Linked DNA regions of Arabidopsis thaliana. The protein of the gene in region 2 interacts with the protein of the main gene of each other region in a pairwise test. Each region holds a gene or a part of one and is shown on either strand. Other genes may lie near its edges.

Region 1 (7,654 bases), on a different chromosome or scaffold from region 2:
GATTCTTATTGTTGGTCTGGCAATAATAATGGCATTTACACGGTTAAATCAGGGTATGATCTGATTAGTCGACAAGCTCATCAAAAGATTTATCAAGAGGCTGCAGTGAACCCTTCAGTAAACCCTCTTTTTTGCAGTATTTGGAGTCTTCATACGGCGCCTAAAATTAAGGTCTTCTTATGGAAAGTCTTAAAAGGAGCTGTAGCAGTGGAAGACAGACTAAGAACTCGTGGTATCAAGGCAATGGATGGATGCTTAATGTGTAATGAGGAGAATGAAACAATTAACCACATTTTATTCCAATGTCCATTGGCAAGACAAGTCTGGGCGCTGTCCCTTATGCAATCCCCTGAAAAAGGTTTTGGATCTTCAATCTTTACTAATATGGACCATGTTTTGAACTATTGTCAGAAACTGAGTAGTTCTAGTAATGTGAGTTATGTTAGTCCTTGGATAATCTGGGTCTTATGGAAACATAGGAATAAAATTCTGTTTGAGGGAGTTACTTCTGTGACTCAAAGCATTGTAGACAAAGCTTATGTGGATTGTAATCAATGGTGTTCAGCCCAACAAGATGTCTGTATCAAGGAATCAAAGTCAAAGTTGAATTGGAGTCCTCCTCCTCAGAATGAGATTAAATGCAATATTGGTGTGGCCTGGTCTAATCGTTTACAAGCTTCTGGTGCATCTTGGGTTGTGAGAGATGCTCTGGGAAAGGTGTTACTTCATAGTAGGAGATCTTATTCTCATGTTCATTCTATGTTGGATGCAAAGATTAGAAGTTGGGAATGGGCTCTTACAAGCATGGCACAACATCATTTTGACAGAGTCACTTTCAGAGCCTCAACACATGACATTATTAAAGCTCTCTACAAACCAGAAGAATGGCCATCATTATTAGGCCATACAAGTCAACTCTTGAAGTTATCACAAAAGAAAAGTGGTTGGTTCATGGCTTTGGAACCAAAACACTGTAATAAAGGAGCTTTTGAGATTGCTAAGAGTGTTATTACTGGGCACAGATGGCAATCTTATGTCTCTCGGGGTTTTCCCCATTGGCTAGGAAATCTCTTTGCTTCCGAAATGACTCAGCTAGGGAGATTGTGACAGTGTTCATTGGAGGCTTGATTTGGTTACAGGTGGTTTAACTCAGATTATCAAATCAGTCGGAGGTGTCATCTTTGGGAATTAGATGCTCAGATTAATTGCTGAGTTGTTAATCAAATAGAATGTTAGGTGTGGAGGTGGATTAGTTTTTGTCCTTTTCTAATGATTGTTTTCTTCAGTCAAAGGTTTAGTAAGTTTAGGATTTCCACTTAGGTTCTTCGAGTCTAGTTTTTTAATAATTTCTTTTTTCCTAATTTTTTCATTAAGGTTAGAGTCTATATATTATAAGTGTTTACTCCTTTACGTCATTAGGTCTCAGTCTTTCTTGTTCCTTTTCTCTTTTCAATCTTACCTCCATGGCAGATGAATTGTGGGATGAAATTCAAGGCCTGGATCTAGGTCCTGAGGATCCAGCCCTCTTCATTCCCCATGAAGCTTATGTGTATGTTGAAGAGTTCAATCGACTGAGTATAATTGCAAGACCTCTCAACCCAAGAGTCCAAAACTTGAACGCGGTGATTGCAGCCTTACCTCGGTACTGGGGAATGACGGTGCATGTCCATGGAAGAATTCTGGATGCAACTTATGTTCAATTTCTCTTCCAAAATGAAGTTGACTTGCAGTCAGTACAAAGAAGAGAACCATGGATTTTCAACAACTGGTTCGTGGCTACTCAAAGATGGGAACCTGCTCCTGCTCTTAACTTTGTTACTTCTATTGATCTTTGGGTGCAGATTAGAGGAATTCCCCTGCCCTATGTGTGTGAAGAGACGGCTCTAGAGATAGCACGTGACTTAGGAGAAGTCATCATGCTGGATCATCATGACGCAACATCTACTCAAATTACTTATATCCGAGTTAGAGTGCGTTTTGGCATCACAGACAGGCTCAGATTCTTCCAACGAATCATCTTTGATTCGGGAGAAGTGGTTACCATCAGATTTCAATATGAGCGCCTCAGAAGAATCTGTAGCAGTTGCTTCAGGTTTACGCACAACAGAGCTTATTGTCCCTATAGACCACGTCCCCACAGCATAGCCAGAGAAAGAGCTGTCTTCAGAGACAGTGTTCATAGGTCAAGCTTGAACTCTCAATCGCAGATGACGGAGACTTCATTTCCTGCTCCTGTGACACCGCCTCCTAGAATTGCTCATCCACCACTGAATCCTGAAGAATTGAGAGCTGCGTATCCATACTATGCATCAGTTAGAGATACTCATACATTACATGTTGGAGAATCTAGTACTGCAAGACAACAATGGTCATCGAGTTCTAGTACCACTCCAACAAGAGCAGACACTCCTAATCATGATAACAACAGAGTCTTTGAAGTCGGTCAATCCTCAAGAAGACAGGAAGTAAGAAGAGAAGCAGAGGATCCTAGACTTCAAACTCGTCTACACAGTGCTTCAAGAATGGGAGAGAGTCTGAAACCTCCCAAAAAGAGATAACCACTCTAACAAGACTTCTGTCAATTTTTGTTGAAGACTACAGGGAATCTAGGATAGCAGCTTCAAGTAGTTGGATATGTTTTTTTGGTTCTGACATATCCTTAACTTTGTTAAGTTTCAGGTTTATTATTTCATGTTTCTCGTTTTACTTCTAAGATCATCTTGTTATGTTTGAATCAAAGGTTTGTAAGTGGTTAGACCACTCAAACACTTTTTGTAAGAACACAATGACATGAATGAATGAAAGATAACTTTTAGGGAAAAAAAAAAAAAAAAACGAAAGAAATAGACAGTGAATTTGATGGGCCTTTGGGCTTTAGCGTAATTGTGAATGAGCTCATTTATTCATTGTCGTAATTTATGGTTTGTTCTCTCATGTGCCAATGAAGTCCGTATGTGTGCTAGCAAGCAAACGATGGTATTGGCCTAACTTTTCGTAGAGATTCTATAAAATTATGTGAAATGCAAAGACCAAATAAGTTTGGGTATAGAATCTCCAGCTACTTTTTAAAATACAAAATAATGATACCAGAGTACAGAAATTTAATAGACAGTAGAAATTGCACTTTAATTTCGGGTAGAAGATATCATTAAACTATAGGAAAAATTGATTAACCAAAAAAAGGTCAACAATGCTACAATACGATTCACTTCAAAATATTTGTAATACACTACCAAAGCTAGATTTGATTCATACTCACAGATCTTCCAACGTCTATAACTAAAGAACATAAACACATATATGACATGCCCTACTGCTTTTTACCTCATCCCTTGTCTCTTTTCTTCCCTACTGTCTCTTTCATTTCTTCTCTCCCTTTGGTTTAAGCCTTTTGGTAATGATAATCAGGCTGCGATACTTTGTTACAGCATGAGCAGAGATGCTTGACTTGAGAGATGCTTGACTTGAGTTGCTTCCCTTTGTTAACCCGAAGATCCTCTACATGGTTAACAAAAGCATAAACTCTACCACAATTCTCAACCGCTTCAAGGTTAGCTCCAAAATCTTGGATTTCAACGCTCTGGAGAGTGTTCCTCTCGGGATTGAAGTAGAACACATAAAACGGTTTACATGTATATTTCATACACAAAACAATATCACCTCTAGTAGTCACTCCAGCAACTGAAAAGTCGCAGGAATCAAGGACTTCATTCTCCGGCAGAGTGTACACATATTTAACCCATTCATGCTTCTCGGCATCCTCTAGAACCCACATACGCAACTCAACGGTGCGCCTTTCACCAGCTTGACCATACTTCCAATTAATCCCACTTAATTTACCCTCATAGTTTACCAAAATCAACCCACTAGTATCATCAAGTTGATCATTAAAGCATCCTGCGTCAAAATACTTAAATTCCTCAGACCTTACATCAAAGCAAATGATCACACAAGACGGTACACCAAGAGTCTGAGCTAAGTAATACAAAACTCCATTGATACATATTCCTTCACTCAAAGAACGATCATATGCAGGACAACTAATGATATTACTCCTCCAGCTCAGTTCCTCAGTTCCTAATGTCAGAATCTCATGATGTTCCCTTTGATCAGAAAATGGATAAGCCTCAGACAATACCTTGAATTGCTTACCAATGGGATCAAACCCTAGAAAGCCTCGAGCATTTTTGTACCTCATCAGATCAGGTAAGCTCTCATACATTCCTGTGGTAGGGTTACAAATCACAGGCGATGCATCTTTTGAGAGCCACAAATCAGGGAAACAGAGCAAACCTGAGACATAGCTACAAATGAATCGGCTTACGTCTCCTGAGAATTTTGTATGATAATCCAAATGAGAAGACTTCTCATATCGATTCTGTGGCTGCGGCGACGAGAAGAAGAGCCACTCACCATTTCGTTCGGCAGCAAACAGCAGACGTGGACGATTCGAGGATCTGGTCAGGAAGAGCTCGGTGAAAACTGGACTGCGAAGCATAGACGCCCAGTGCTTCGACAAGGTACGAAATCCAATGACTGACTTCGCCGGCAATCTCGAGAAGATCTCGAGAATGAGATCATTTGGGATTGGTTCCATGAAGAAGCGTTTATTGCCGCCGGAGTGTGTGATTGTTTCGTCGGAGAAGGAGAAGGTTTAATACGACGCAACAAGATTGGGATTGTATGGGCCTTTGGGCTTTAGCATAGTTGTGAATGAGCTAAGCCCATTTATTCATTGCGATAATTGGGACTTTTGGTTTGTTCTCTCACGTGCCAATCGGTATGTTAGATATGTGGTAGCGAATGAAGGATTAGTTTTCACAGGGATTCTAAATATCATGTAAAATGTAAAGACCAAATATGTTTTGGTAACTGGTTATGGAATCTCTAGCTACTATTAGCAACAAAAAAAAAAGACAGTAGAGGTAGAGCTTGCTTTTTGATTTAGGATGAAGAACAATTGTTTAATGGCTAAAGCAAAAGCTTAGTATCTGGTGACAAATGTGTCAATACAGAGATAAATTTATTAGGCTTAGCACTCCTTTTTTTGGATTAAACAATCAATAAAAACGAAATAGAAATATAATCAGTTTGTGTTTTTGCTTTAGTGAAACAGAAGAAAATGGGTTCAGTTATTACTTTTTCTTTATTTTTTGGGATTTGTGTAGAATTATGTACAAGTCATATACTATTAAAATAAATGGGATTAGGGAACAATGTGGTGAGTTAAATGTGATGGTAAGAGAGGAAGGAAGAAGCATGGGATAATGGTGAAGGGAGCGGCGCTTAAATCTGAAAATCTCGAGAATGAAGAAAACACGTCACTTCACTCTCACGATCGAACATGTGATTCTTGTGTGCTGCGACGACTCGTGACTCTTGCCTCTCTTTTTCTCATGCATGGCTCTCCGATTCTCCGACGAAAGAAGGAAACAACAAAAAGATAAAGATGAGATATCGTAAAAGCTTTAAAGCTTTAAAGTGTCCTCAAGAAAAATAATTCTAGGAACCCAAAAAACCTTGTCTCGCTAGATATCTTGGTAACATGTACAAGTAAAATATTAGAGCTAGTCATAACAAAGAAAAACAAAAAAAAAAACATTTGAGTTCCTGATGATTAACAGAAATTTTTGAACATAATAATCCAAAAAAAAAAAAAATGTGTGTGTGCAATTGTTCTAACTTCTTAAGCTATCATCAAAAAGGTGTAATAACTAATAAGGTTGGCATTGCGACTGTTTGGAATGCAGGGGACACCAAGAACTAGGGATTATATTATTCTAGTTTGAGCCTAGGTAGAAGAATTATATAAATATGAAGTTGAGATCAAAAATGGTTAAAAGTTTTTTTTTTTTTTTTTCTTTTGAAAATAACAGAATATGAGAAAAGCAACGGTCACATGCGCGGGTGAAAAAAGCAATTCTCTAGGAATTGAAGCGAACCGTGACATTATTTAAGCACTCACATACTCTTTCTAAGCTCCATTATCATATCCTCTTCTTCCTTCTTCACTATCAATCTTCTTCTCCACTACAACACAAATGGAGAAATCATCCTCAATGAAACAATGGAAGAAGGGTCCTGCTCGGGGTAAAGGCGGTCCACAAAACGCTCTTTGTCAGTACCGTGGAGTCAGGCAAAGGACTTGGGGCAAATGGGTGGCTGAGATCAGAGAGCCCAAGAAGAGGGCAAGACTTTGGCTTGGCTCTTTCGCTACAGCTGAAGAAGCAGCTATGGCTTATGATGAGGCTGCCTTGAAACTCTATGGGCACGACGCATACCTCAACTTACCTCATCTTCAGCGGAATACAAGACCTTCTCTGAGTAACTCTCAGAGGTTCAAATGGGTACCTTCAAGGAAGTTTATATCTATGTTTCCTTCATGTGGTATGCTAAACGTGAATGCTCAGCCTAGTGTTCACATAATCCAGCAAAGACTAGAAGAACTCAAGAAAACTGGACTTTTATCTCAATCCTATTCTTCTAGTTCTTCCTCCACCGAATCAAAAACTAATACTAGCTTTCTTGATGAGAAGACCAGCAAGGGAGAAACAGACAATATGTTCGAAGGTGGTGATCAGAAGAAACCAGAGATCGACCTGACCGAGTTTCTTCAGCAACTAGGAATCTTGAAGGATGAAAATGAAGCAGAACCAAGTGAGGTAGCAGAGTGTCATTCCCCTCCACCATGGAACGAGCAAGAAGAAACTGGAAGTCCTTTCAGAACTGAGAATTTCAGCTGGGATACCCTGATCGAGATGCCAAGAAGTGAAACCACAACTATGCAATTTGACTCCAGCAACTTCGGAAGCTATGATTTTGAGGATGATGTATCCTTCCCTTCCATCTGGGACTACTACGGAAGCTTAGATTGAGTAAAAGCAATTTAAGGTAGATCAAGATTCAGAAGTACACAAATGGTTTTGGATTTAGTGTAGCGTTTTGGAAAAGAGACATAGGTAGTGAGAGTGCAGTCTTTTATTATGCAGCAATAAAGTGAGTCAGTGTACAACCGAGTTGTTCGCTTTTTTTGGTATATTAATGAAGCATGTTCATTTTTTCGCTATCCTTTAGCTCGATAGTTTAAATAGTAAGTGAAAGTCACGGCCCTAATAGAATGATATGTTTTGTGCAAGTAACAATGCAAAAAAGCTTACCTATCATATCCCCTTTCATGGAGATCACATCTAATATCTCAATAATACTAGAAACTCATGATCAATAAATAAAGATCATGATGGTATGAACAAATTTTTAAGATTCGCCTTCGAACTGACCAACGCAAACTTTCTGTCGAGAAAAGAAAACAACAAAACTGAATAACCTAGAGACATATCACACGATGCATAAACTCCCACCAGAAAGTTTCACCTGCCAGCACTGATCAAAATCTGAAGAAATTTGCTAAGTATAGATAACATCCACAGATATTCAACAAGCATAAACAGCAGCTACAATGAACCTTCACGACTTTCTCAGGTTTAAGACATAAAAGGATCTCTTATCAATGGAACGAATAGAGTAAGATCAAACACGAAAGCTTAAACATTATGAATATAGCAACCTCACTGCTTAAGCACAGAATTCCTCTTCATTCCAATATTAGAAACAATGCAACAGATACACTAGTCATTCCAAAGAGAGTAATAATTCT
Region 2 (11,320 bases):
AAAGCTCCTCATGGCACAACTTTGGAAGTGCCTGATCCAGATGAAGTTAGTCTTTTTCAGCGACCTTGGATGACATCTGCCATTCTTTGTTAGATTCCAAAACGTTATTATAATGTTTCTTCTTTACTTGACAGGCGGCTGACCACCCACAAAGGAGATACAGGATCATTCTTAGAAGTACAATGGGACCTATTGACGTATACCTCGTCAGGTATTTATGCGTTGGCTTCAAATAATAGAAACATTGTTATTGGCATTTTCCGTGACTTCATATACTCTACTGATGATGGTATACATATAATTGAACGTATCAAAACAAAGATTTCTATGATTTGGAACATTCATTGTCCCGTTTACATGCTTTTACTTTGTCTTCATGTTCAGCGAATTTGAAGGGAAATTCGAAGACACAAATGGGAGTGGTGCAGCACCACCAGCATGCTTGCCTATTGCTTCTAGCTCAGGATCTACAGGACACCATGACATCGAAGCCTTAACTGTTGACAACCCAGAAACTGCTATTGTGTCTCATGATCATCCTCATCCTCAACCCGGCGATACCTCTGATCTTAATTATTTGCAAGAGCAAGTAGGAGGAATGCTTAAGATTACTCCCTCTGATGTTGAAGTAAGCCATCTTCCTGCTTATTTTTATAATGAACATAGAAATAGGAAGTTGTGCAGAGAAACTAATTAACCTGACTCAAAATCTACCCTCATAATTGTTGTTTGATATTGGTCTTGTATTTTGCAGAATGATGAGTCGGACTACTGGCTTCTCTCAAATGCTGAGATTAGCATGACGGATATTTGGAAAACTGACTGTATCCTTTGCATATATGCAATTTGTTTCTCTCTTATAGTTAACTATATCTATCTGCATAAGATATAAATACGCAATCCTTAACTCTAGCAAAAGCTGGTATCGATTGGGATTATGGAATAGCCGACGTGAGTACTCCACCACCAGGAATGGGCGAAATAGCACCAACAGCTGTTGACTCAACCCCGAGATGATCGAATACCAAGCACACTTCTCAACTTCTGATCCCAAATGTGTTACCTCACAACACTCCCTAAAATCATATACAAGGAGGGAGCAACTACAGAACGTGTATGAACCAATGGCAGGTGCGTTCCATACAATGTACCATTAGATTATGATTCATTTATCGCCTAGAGTGATGTTGTAGAGGAGCACCGAGAAACTAATGTAAGTTTAACAGAGAATGTACTTCATCGGCTGCATTGGTACACTATTTGATTATAATATTTTTGACCACTCAAATGCATCTTTATAATCAGCTATATGAAGAAATCCAAACTCAAATCAATATCCGGATTAAAGCGGGAAGTTTAAACGAAAACAAACACAAATATTCTCGCTGTATTAATACTTACTGCTTCAATTTACAGAAAACATGAAAAAAAAAAAAAAATCTGTTTTGTTTCAATTCAAAACTTTCATTCACTTTTCTTTCCCTATATATCTTTAAACAAACGAAAAGGGTTTCTTTGTCGAGTCACGTATATGTACGTTTGCGTTACTATGCCGCTGGCTGAGTTCTGGAGTTAGAACGTCGCAGCTTAGCTCGAGCATCAGTGAGGGGTGATCCCGGAATTGTATCAGGAATGTTGACTCCATCATCACCGTTAAATGTTCCGGCGGAGTCTCGGCCTGGTGTTGGTGGTGGTGTTGGTGGCGGCCACTTCCTCCCTCTGCTTGTTTGCTTCTCTAGCGATCGCAACGCAGATAGTGATTTGTTCAGCGGTCTTGGAGCGCGCGGTGATGGAGGATCATTGTCCATCTCCACCGGTGACTGCGCGTTCATGTTCACGTTCCTCTCCGTTGGCTTTAGCACAAACACAAAAATTCAAAAGTGCAAAAGGGAGGTAATAAACACAAGATTGTGTTTGCATTAGTACATAAAACGAAAATCAAAAGCGATAGAAAAGTACCGGTTGGTTAGCTGCAGCGGCAGAGAACCGGACCGATTGGGCGAGTACGTACTGAAAACCCTGGATCAAGGTGGATTGACCGGCCTGTGCATCAACATTATATGTATGTTGTTAATCTTATAATAATTTAGTCAAACCTTTAAAAAGAACAATTTGTATATATAAGTAATAGAAAGATAATTTAAAAAAGGACCTGGGCGAAGTTGTTGAAGTAAAAGATGAAAAAGTCCCAAGCTCGAGCTCGCAACTCCATGATCTTTCTGTCAATCTCTGTCTCGTGTTGAGCCATGTATGGCTTCAACAATGTTTCATACACATGTCTCGTTCCCTTCATTCATTATTTATTTCGTTATTATTATTTGTACATCACCATAAACCACTAATTAATTATGATCCAACTAATCACTTTTTAAAAGGAAAAATTATATTACCTTTGTTTTAGGGTACCAGAGATATACGAAGAAGACTACTTTCATCTCTCCGTATAACGGTAACCTGCAAATAATAATTGCATATATCAATTAATTATTTGATGATTGTTAATATTTTTTAAGACAGAGATGGATTAAGGCATGAATTAACTAATAATAAAACTTACTTACCATGAGATAAAAAAATCGCCAACCCTCTCGAATGATGAAATTAGCGCCAAAAGTATCCTAATTATTCAAATACAAATGTTTAACAAATTAATATTTTCGAGTACATATTGACAATAAACTATCATATTAGAATTACGTGCATCACATATATTGAGATATCTTTAAAATAAACCTAATACAATTGTCCCAGTAATCCCCAGACTAGGTATATAATCAACGTTCGAAACCAAAGACTTGTACAAAAGATGAGGTGTATTCATAAATGGTTTTTCTAGCAGAAGACATCAACTTAACGGAATTTTGATTTTTTTTCTCTTTTAAAATCAAACAAAAACCCATAACAGAGAAAAGTATATCACTATGATCGAACTAAAATCGATTTGCCTATCACTACAAATCTACTACATACACTACACATTATATATGAATGTTTAAAAGTATCGAGGATAGAAAAAAGGGGATCATATATAAATAATTCAATACCAGTATTGGCACCAAAATCTGAGTTCCTCGATATCAACTTTGTTCTTCTCCACCGTTTTAAAGCATTCGAATGCTGGGTATGTGTACCCTAATATCAATCTGCCATTCTCACCATTTCAATTATATATATACATCAATATACATGATTAATTAATCAAAAGAAAAAAAGAGATATGGTTAGGACATACACAAGGAGTCTGATGATGAAATCTCCCAACATCTTCGACCAGTTTAGACTTATCTCCTGTTACAATCATAACAAAACCGATTCAACAATCATATATATATCAGACGAATAGATCCATTTTTAAGCGTTTAACAAATGCAAATGAACCTAATGAAGAAGATCAAAGACGTTAGGAAGATCTCGTCCTCGTAAGAATTATTGAACGTATGAAGAAGAATATGAATGGAATTGGTGTTTTTTTCTTCAAGGAACCCAGAGGGATCAAAACTGCAAATGAGATCAAAACCATGTTTAATGGTTACAGAGTTTTATTATTAGAAGAGAAAAAAATATGTATAAGTTGTTATAAACAAACCTAAATTTATGGAGAGGGTGTCTCTCCGGGTTAAGCAAAGAAAAAATAAACAAAAACTTTGAATATCAAAGACAAAGAAAAAAAGAGGAAGATTATGAAGACGCGTAAGTTCTAAAATTGGAATACATCAGGGTTTAGTTTTTTTAGAAATATATAAACGTCAATAAACAAACAAAAAAATTACAAAAAGTAAACGGTTTCTTGCCACAAAAGCTACTTGAATTTGGGGGTAAGAGGAACGGGTTTACCGTTTGACCGTTTGACCGTTGTCTCATTATCCTCGTTATTTAACATTGTTCGACGCTTCATATGAATTTACAAAAAAAGTCCTTGAAGAATCAAATTAATTAAGTTTGACTGATTTTACACTAATAAATATATATTCTTCTGCTGTCCTTCAAAAAAAATACTAAATACGAAATTCTATAAACTACTAGAATATCTTTTGAAATCCATTAAAATCTCATCTAAACATCCTTTATTCAATGGATAATTTGAAGCAAACCTAGTCTTTTTTTTTTCCAAACAAACATAAACTCAAAATAATTCCGTTCCTTATTAATCCAAATTCTAAGTTTTTCACACATGAAAAAAATTGATCCTAAATGTATTATTTTTTGTGATTAACAATTTCCACACTTAAAATTTGTATAGAAAAATTAAAATTTGTATCTTTTTGCAACAAACTTTTTTTTGTAGAATTTGGAGTAATAAGGAATTGAGGAAGAAGTACTTAATAGTGCAGTGATCATAAGTGAGTTGTTACTTATGTTACTTATATTTTACACTAGGTAATCTCAAATCGAAAATCAGATTGATGGACAATATTATTACAACATTCTATGTCTACCAGGTTCCCATAAAAAAACTTCCACCTTTCATCGGCCTCTAAATATTAATCTATCAATAATTAAACATACTGTACGTTTTCTGTAAAGTTTTGTATTGTTTAACAGTAATGTTTATTTTTCTATTATATGTTGTAAAACAAAGTTTATACACCTTTCTAATGTACTTAGAGGAATAATAGTAATACTGGAAACAAAGAGTGGTCTGGATTTGTGTTGGAGGAGCTACGGCCTTTGGGTTTATATCCCTTGAGTGACAATTTATTTGAGTGTTGTAAAGGCGCTGTACAAAGCTCATGAAGGCCCAACACAAATCCATGTAAAACAAACTCTTATTGAGTACTTCTACAACTTCTCTTGTAATATTTGTTAACACCATGTGTAAATCCTAAAAAAATAATATATTCGAATTAAAATTTAAAACGTAGTTTAAAATAATTGTGTATGAAATGAATTAACGACCGTATAGTATAACTATTGAATGCAAATGACATACTAAAGATCATCTGACTTTTTGAAGAAAAAAAAGGTTAGATTTGACAAAAAGAAAAATATAGATCGTCCAACTAGAACCTAAATCGTAATGGGAAGGCTTAATTATATATGAAATACCATTATAGTTCATTATAGTCAACTTAAATAATAATCCTATATTCACATCTCATAATTTTCATAGATCAGTGGAGTAAGTATATGTCACATTAATGCTCATGAATGTAGACATTTACTAACATATTTTTAAAAGCTCACAAAAATTTAAAAGAAATTATAAACTGTCATTGAACATCAAATTAAATATTGTTGCTAAGAGTTTACTTCTCATTAATCCACCTCAGTCACCACATGCACCCTTTAATACCAATCCAAGTAGACTCACTCTCCCTCACACACTCTCTCTCTAAAATCTATTTCATCTTGGAGTAAGAGACAGAGAGACAAAGAAAGAGCAAAGCAATGACGACAGGCAAAAGCAAGAAGAAGAAGATGGTCCTTAAGGCAGTCTCTGTCGTAGACATCGGCTGTGGCAACTGTAAGTTCCCAAGCTTGTCTTCTTTTTTCAACCCTTCCCCCAAAAAGCCCCGCCTCTACTCCTCTAATTACGGCCACTGCCACTCCTCCACCCCCACCACGGCCTCCTCTTCCTCCGCCGTTCCCTCCACCTCCCACTGGTTCTCTGACACCTCTTCCTCCTCGGCAACACCCTCCGCCGCCGCTGTCGCCGTCGAGAAAGACTCAGACGATCCTTACCTAGATTTCCGACAGTCCATGCTTCAGATGATTCTCGAGAACGAGATTTACTCCAAAAACGATCTCAGAGAGCTTCTCCACTGCTTCCTCTCCCTTAACGAGCCATACCACCACGGCATCATCATCCGCGCTTTCTCCGAAATCTGGGACGGAGTTTTCTCCGCTGCCAAACGCCGTGGAGACGTCCAAGAGTCTCCACTCGTCCACCGTCATGGCTCACGTGCGTCACACCGTAACCACTACCACCGCTCGAAGTAACCTTTTTTAACTACGAATTATGCCACGTCACCAATAATGTATTGACACGTTAACTATCCATTTTACTACTACTGACGTGTCAATATATTATTGGGTTTGTGCTTTTTAACTTCTTATCTTAGCTTTGGGATTTTCTTCTTTGTCTTTTAACCAAGTGTAACGACAATGGTAGAATAATTATAATATGGTTGCTACTTGTTTCAATGTTGATTTTTGTAGTAATATTCGGCCAAAATCGATAAGAATAGAAGTTTTAAAGATCTTGTGACACTCGTGACTCTCATTAGGATGATGACGTGAAGGTTCCGGAAACAAGTCCACGTGAAATCTTTTTATTTATTTATTATCATGAATTCATGATCACAGTGCGGATTTTAAGATATTTAACAAATATACATTCACATATTATGCATTTTAGCAAGTAATATGTGTTTTAAGAAAAAGAAAAAAAAGAAGCAAGTAATATGTGGTCATAGACATATAAAATGTACGAAAAGGGCATTTAAATCATATTATTTACCCCGTCGACGAAAATATTTTCATAGCCGAAAACTTTATAGAACGTTAGGTATATAATATTTTCATATATATATATATATATATTTATATATGAACTGTACAGGTCTTTGATAATAATATTTGTGGACACTGGACAGTATTTATAGACTATATTGCATACATATTTTTCCAATAGATAACTTCTTTTCGTTTGGCCGTTGTGCATTAATTTTTGGGGTACAAAAACTTTTGCAATGACGAATTAGAAAGCGATATGTAACAAATGTTTTGGTAGTTTATGGGGACCAACCATTAGAAGAATGCTTATTTTGGACTTGAATATATGTCTTGAAGTATGTACAGATCTTCAAATATGTGACTTTAAGTTTGTGTCTTTAACCTCATGTGCTAGCTAAAGATGTATTAGCAATATAATAGCATGTTGAGGACTAGCCTAATTCAGCTTGTTACTAGGTTCACACCGAGACTTTCGCCACGTGCTAGTATCTTGAGTACCAATCTCGGGATGTATATCAGTCTGGTAATATAATCCTTTATTGCCAATTTCGGACTCTATGCTGTATACTTTGGAAGTGTGCTAGTATATTAGTAAGGAACATTAAGTATGTCGGTGTGTTTAGTGTGGCAAATCCAAAATAGCAATCTACCATGGGGCATACCAATAGAATATTACATTCATTCATTGAGAATTATAACCACATAAAGAGAAACTCTAGCAATATGCCACAAGATTTATTATTCGAATTCATAATAATATGTGTAATTAATTCGTGGTTAATATGTGTAATTAATCAATAATTATGCACGGTCAGATTAGGAAATATATATGATCAATGGTACGGTATGATCATGATCGTGTTATGGAAGAATGGATCATCGTGTGTAAAGATGATTCAGTACGGCAAGTGTTAATCATTAGTTATGATTGTGGAAAGACGCCAGATAAGACAAGACTTGATTCGCACATGTCACTATGTCAGATATCAAATGAAAAATGGATGTCTTATGGATGTGTGGATCATGTGTATACCACAGTACTATTTTGATTGCAAGTGTTTAGACACCTAAAAGCATGTTGATAGATATGGCAACCATTTCATGTATTATCTCCAAATCTGCGAGCCACTTAGACATGTGTGTTTTTTAATGGTAAATAGTTTATTATTATGGCGTTTTATTAGTTTGTTATTTATATTAATATCACAATCCATCTTCAAATCAATCATTATACATGCTAGTTGTAAGTGACAAAACTAATTCAGTGAGACAAACTAATTCAAACAAAGGACTACAATTATAGTGCGACAAAAAAATACACTACTTGAACTAGTAATATTTTTTTCCCCACAATGATTCTTTACTACCCATAATGAATATACAACAGTCATAGAAAAGTAGCGAACCTGTGGATTTGGGCGGTAAAAGACATGAGGGAGCATCGGGATTTGATACTCGTAATTATTAGAAAGAGGGTGTAATATTAATTACATAAATAAATAGCGACGCAGACACTTAAATGTACAATTTTATTACAGCATTACTTCTTCCTATGTTGTGTAATTGATGATGATACTTTGGACGAACCCTTCTTACAGTTTCCGATACGATACGATCCATCCTTTAAAATAGTTGTAATTATTGTTGCCAAAGAAATGAAAATTGTAATTATTAGTTTTTGTCTAGTGGCCCACTCAGTTCTACAGACATTTCAAGAAATTACATTTTTCTTATAAAAGTTTTGTCGTACAAGATTTAACATTGGTCCCCAAACAATGTAATTCTTTACTGACCCTGTAATTTCTAGTTCATCATTGAATTGGTTAGAAACTATTCTTATTTTTGTCTTTTTAACTCGTAAATGCTATCAGCCTATCAGGTACAAGAAATTAAAGCGAAGAACTTTACCTAGTGAAAACATTTAACAAGGTGAAAAACTCAGCCAGAAATAGGTAAAATATTTAAATCAAACCAGCCATCGAAAGAGTGAAGTTTGTGGTCACAAATCAATAAGTATTGTATAGCTTACTAAATCAATTTTTATTAAAATTACATATTTATTTAAAATAAAACATACATTCTGTCTGTTTATATATAAAATTAATTCAATTTTTTTAAAAAATATTTAAATTGTAAGAAAACCTCAAAAATCAATTGTGTACAAACTTTACATTTTTTTTTGACATAAATTCAATAACAATAATTCAATAACATAAAATAATATACAAGTATTACAATTCAATAACATAAAATAAATAATAAATAGCATGGAGATGTAATTTTGCTATGACCATCATGTCGCTATCGCCATCTTCATTCTTCGTCTGATTCAGATCTCGAACTTTCGGACAATGCAAAACCTAATTTATCCCCATCAATACTCCTCACCTTGAATGTCTTCTTCTCTTCATAAGTCTTGCTTACCTGCTCCTCCACTTTCTGGAACTCTTCCTCCACGTTAAATCCGTCCTTCATGTTGGAATCTGATGCATCCATGATCTTGGAAGAGTTTTGCTGCTAAAAAATTAGAGAGATCAGTTGCTAAGAATCGACAAGAGAAAAGACAAAAGAGAAGACAAGAGAGAAGACAAGAGAGAACTCGTGTATGTATAGTATATATTTTAATAACAACAACAAAACAATATATTTTAATTCAGTATAACATATTTGTTTGTCTTTGTTCACAATACATAAGTATTTTTTTTAATCGTTAATAAATAAAAAAGTTAAGCCAAAACTATTAATTTCTCTAGAAGAGACACTTGTTTTATAAAATAATAATAATAATAAAATACTATAATTCATTTCATCTCATTCATTGTACATATATGCATCAAAATTATAATTTTCTTTTACTTTATTATAAATTATTTATTTTTGTCATTATTGAAACTCTTTTAAAATATATAAACTTCGTAAATAGAATAATAAACAAATGGGGTATTATGGTTAAAAATATTGTTTGGAAATTTAGTGTACAGAGTTTCGTTTTTTTTTATGATCGTTTAATGATAATTTTTGTTTTTTCATCTACTGTATTTGTTTTCTGTAGGTAAAACGAGACTGAAACATGCTATTGAGTAGTTTTTTATTTGCATGCAAACTACAAGATGTATTTATTTTCATTCCGCTTCAACAAAATAATTTGCTTAAATTTGTTTTCAGTCTACTTAACGTACAAAACTTATCAAACTTTTTTTTTTGTTAACGTACAAAATTAACAAAGTTGCTGTTTTATTTTTTCAAAAGCCACGCTTGGACCATCGGATGGGTGGTACCAATTGGTACTTGGTACCACTACAAAATCCAAAAAACTTACATCAAAATAGAAACTCTTCTTTTTTTTATGTGTGTAATCACTGATCGACACTATTTAGTATTTACACCGGTGTTCGTGTGTTGGCTAAACAAATTGTGTGATTAGAATTGAACCAACCTATATATTCTTTAAAATCAGAGTTAGAGCGATATGACCGGGTGGTTCGGTTCTCTTTTAGAAACAATGGTTTTTCATCACAAAATCCCATAACTAAAATACATAACTTCAAGTTCATCCAACAAGACTCGTATATAATATTTATGACTACAAATACACGCATTCAAATAAATGTTGAAAGAATAATCAATGGGTGCTATAAATATATGACCCAACTACCAAAAGTAAATATGGTAATCAATATTGAAGTAAATTTCAGATTAGACTAACCAGCAACTATAGCTAGCTAGTAATAATTATAAGCTCAGAAATCTGTGACTAAAAAGTCTAAAAGGAGCATTAACGATTAGCAATAAAAATAGCAATAACGATACTGTGAGATTCTCGTGCTCCTCCATTAATGGCTTCAGAAGCAAAAATTCTCATTTTTTTTTGAAATTTTGAGCGTATACTTGTATTGTTACCAAATCTAACGAGTTAAAGAGTTCTTAAAAACCCAAAACTGAGAGATTAAACAGAAATCGAGACTAATCTCTATCGTATATGAAATGGCTGAGTAATTCCATAATAAATCTTTTAAACACCGGGTCACTATGTTCTTTATTAAAAGTTTTTTTTATCTGTTATAGAAACTTTCTCACAATTTGGATTTAGGTGTTTGAAAACTATTGTGCATTTGGCAAGAAATTAGAAATTAGCAATTAGAGGTAGGATTTTGAAGATTAATGTGTTACAGTTGGGGAGTTAGCGAGAAATTATAATACTCTAATGAATAATGATCGTATACTGTCGAAGCTTTTTTGTGTGTCAAATATACGTTAGTACTACTAATACATGTTTTAAAATTGAAACCTTACAATTGCAAAATGGAATCGGCCCACATATGATTAAGGGCTTGATCAAGATGGGCTGTTGCTTTAGACCAGACGTATCTCTACACTAACATTTATTTCAAGTGAATAGTCCACTACTTTTGTCCTCGTCATCAACGGTGTTAATCAAAAGTCAACTAAATTGACGGCGATGCGTCAGTCAAACGGTACGAGTCCACCGTTAGAAATATAGGTCGATTGTATATGATTATTGGACCTTAGACAAAGTAACAGACACACCTGCAGGCTTTTACTTGTTGTCCAAAGTTTTAGAGAAACCCAATACATAATTCCTCACAAAACAATTTAATTTGAAATTACAAAACCCATTAATCGTATCTCCATTTTCCTAGAAATTTAACTTATGCTAATGAACCCATTTTATATTAGATTAAGATAATATTTTATTGGTTAAATATATCGTGTCGAATTGAGTGTTTGAAACGGTATAAAAACTGAGAGCTTAGTATACGAAGATTTTCAATAGAGACTAAAGTGGTTATCTTTGATTACGAACAGGGTTAATGAAATAGGTTAGACAAAATCAACCACGATC

Evidence for each region. The genes of interacting proteins can lie anywhere in the genome.
Region 1: the proteins of AT2G36026 (region 2) and AT3G57600 interact in a two-hybrid assay, tested with the Arabidopsis thaliana proteins (one large-scale study listed by BioGRID).

The regions. Positions count from the first base shown.
Region 1 is NC_003074.8:21,326,800-21,334,453, forward strand, and holds AT3G57600 (Integrase-type DNA-binding superfamily protein), read left to right. Parts: upstream 1-5,974; 5' UTR 5,975-6,041; coding exon 6,042-6,875; 3' UTR 6,876-7,119; downstream 7,120-7,654. Other genes in the region: AT3G57587 (Ta11-like non-LTR retrotransposon), read left to right, coding at 1,464-2,558; AT3G57590 (F-box and associated interaction domains-containing protein), read right to left, coding at 3,383-4,597. UniProt on the Arabidopsis thaliana protein: Transcriptional activator that binds specifically to the DNA sequence 5'-[AG]CCGAC-3'. Binding to the C-repeat/DRE element mediates high salinity-inducible transcription.
Region 2 is NC_003071.7:15,121,877-15,133,196, forward strand, and holds AT2G36026 (Ovate family protein), read left to right. Parts: upstream 1-5,388; coding exon 5,389-5,940; downstream 5,941-11,320. Other genes in the region: E2F3 (E2F transcription factor 3), read left to right, coding at 1-45, 135-211, 385-628, 755-824, 920-1,017; HVA22J (HVA22-like protein J), read right to left, coding at 1,548-1,853, 1,960-2,043, 2,153-2,287, 2,391-2,454, 2,562-2,618, 3,045-3,143, 3,233-3,264; AT2G36030 (uncharacterized protein), read right to left, coding at 5,683-5,895.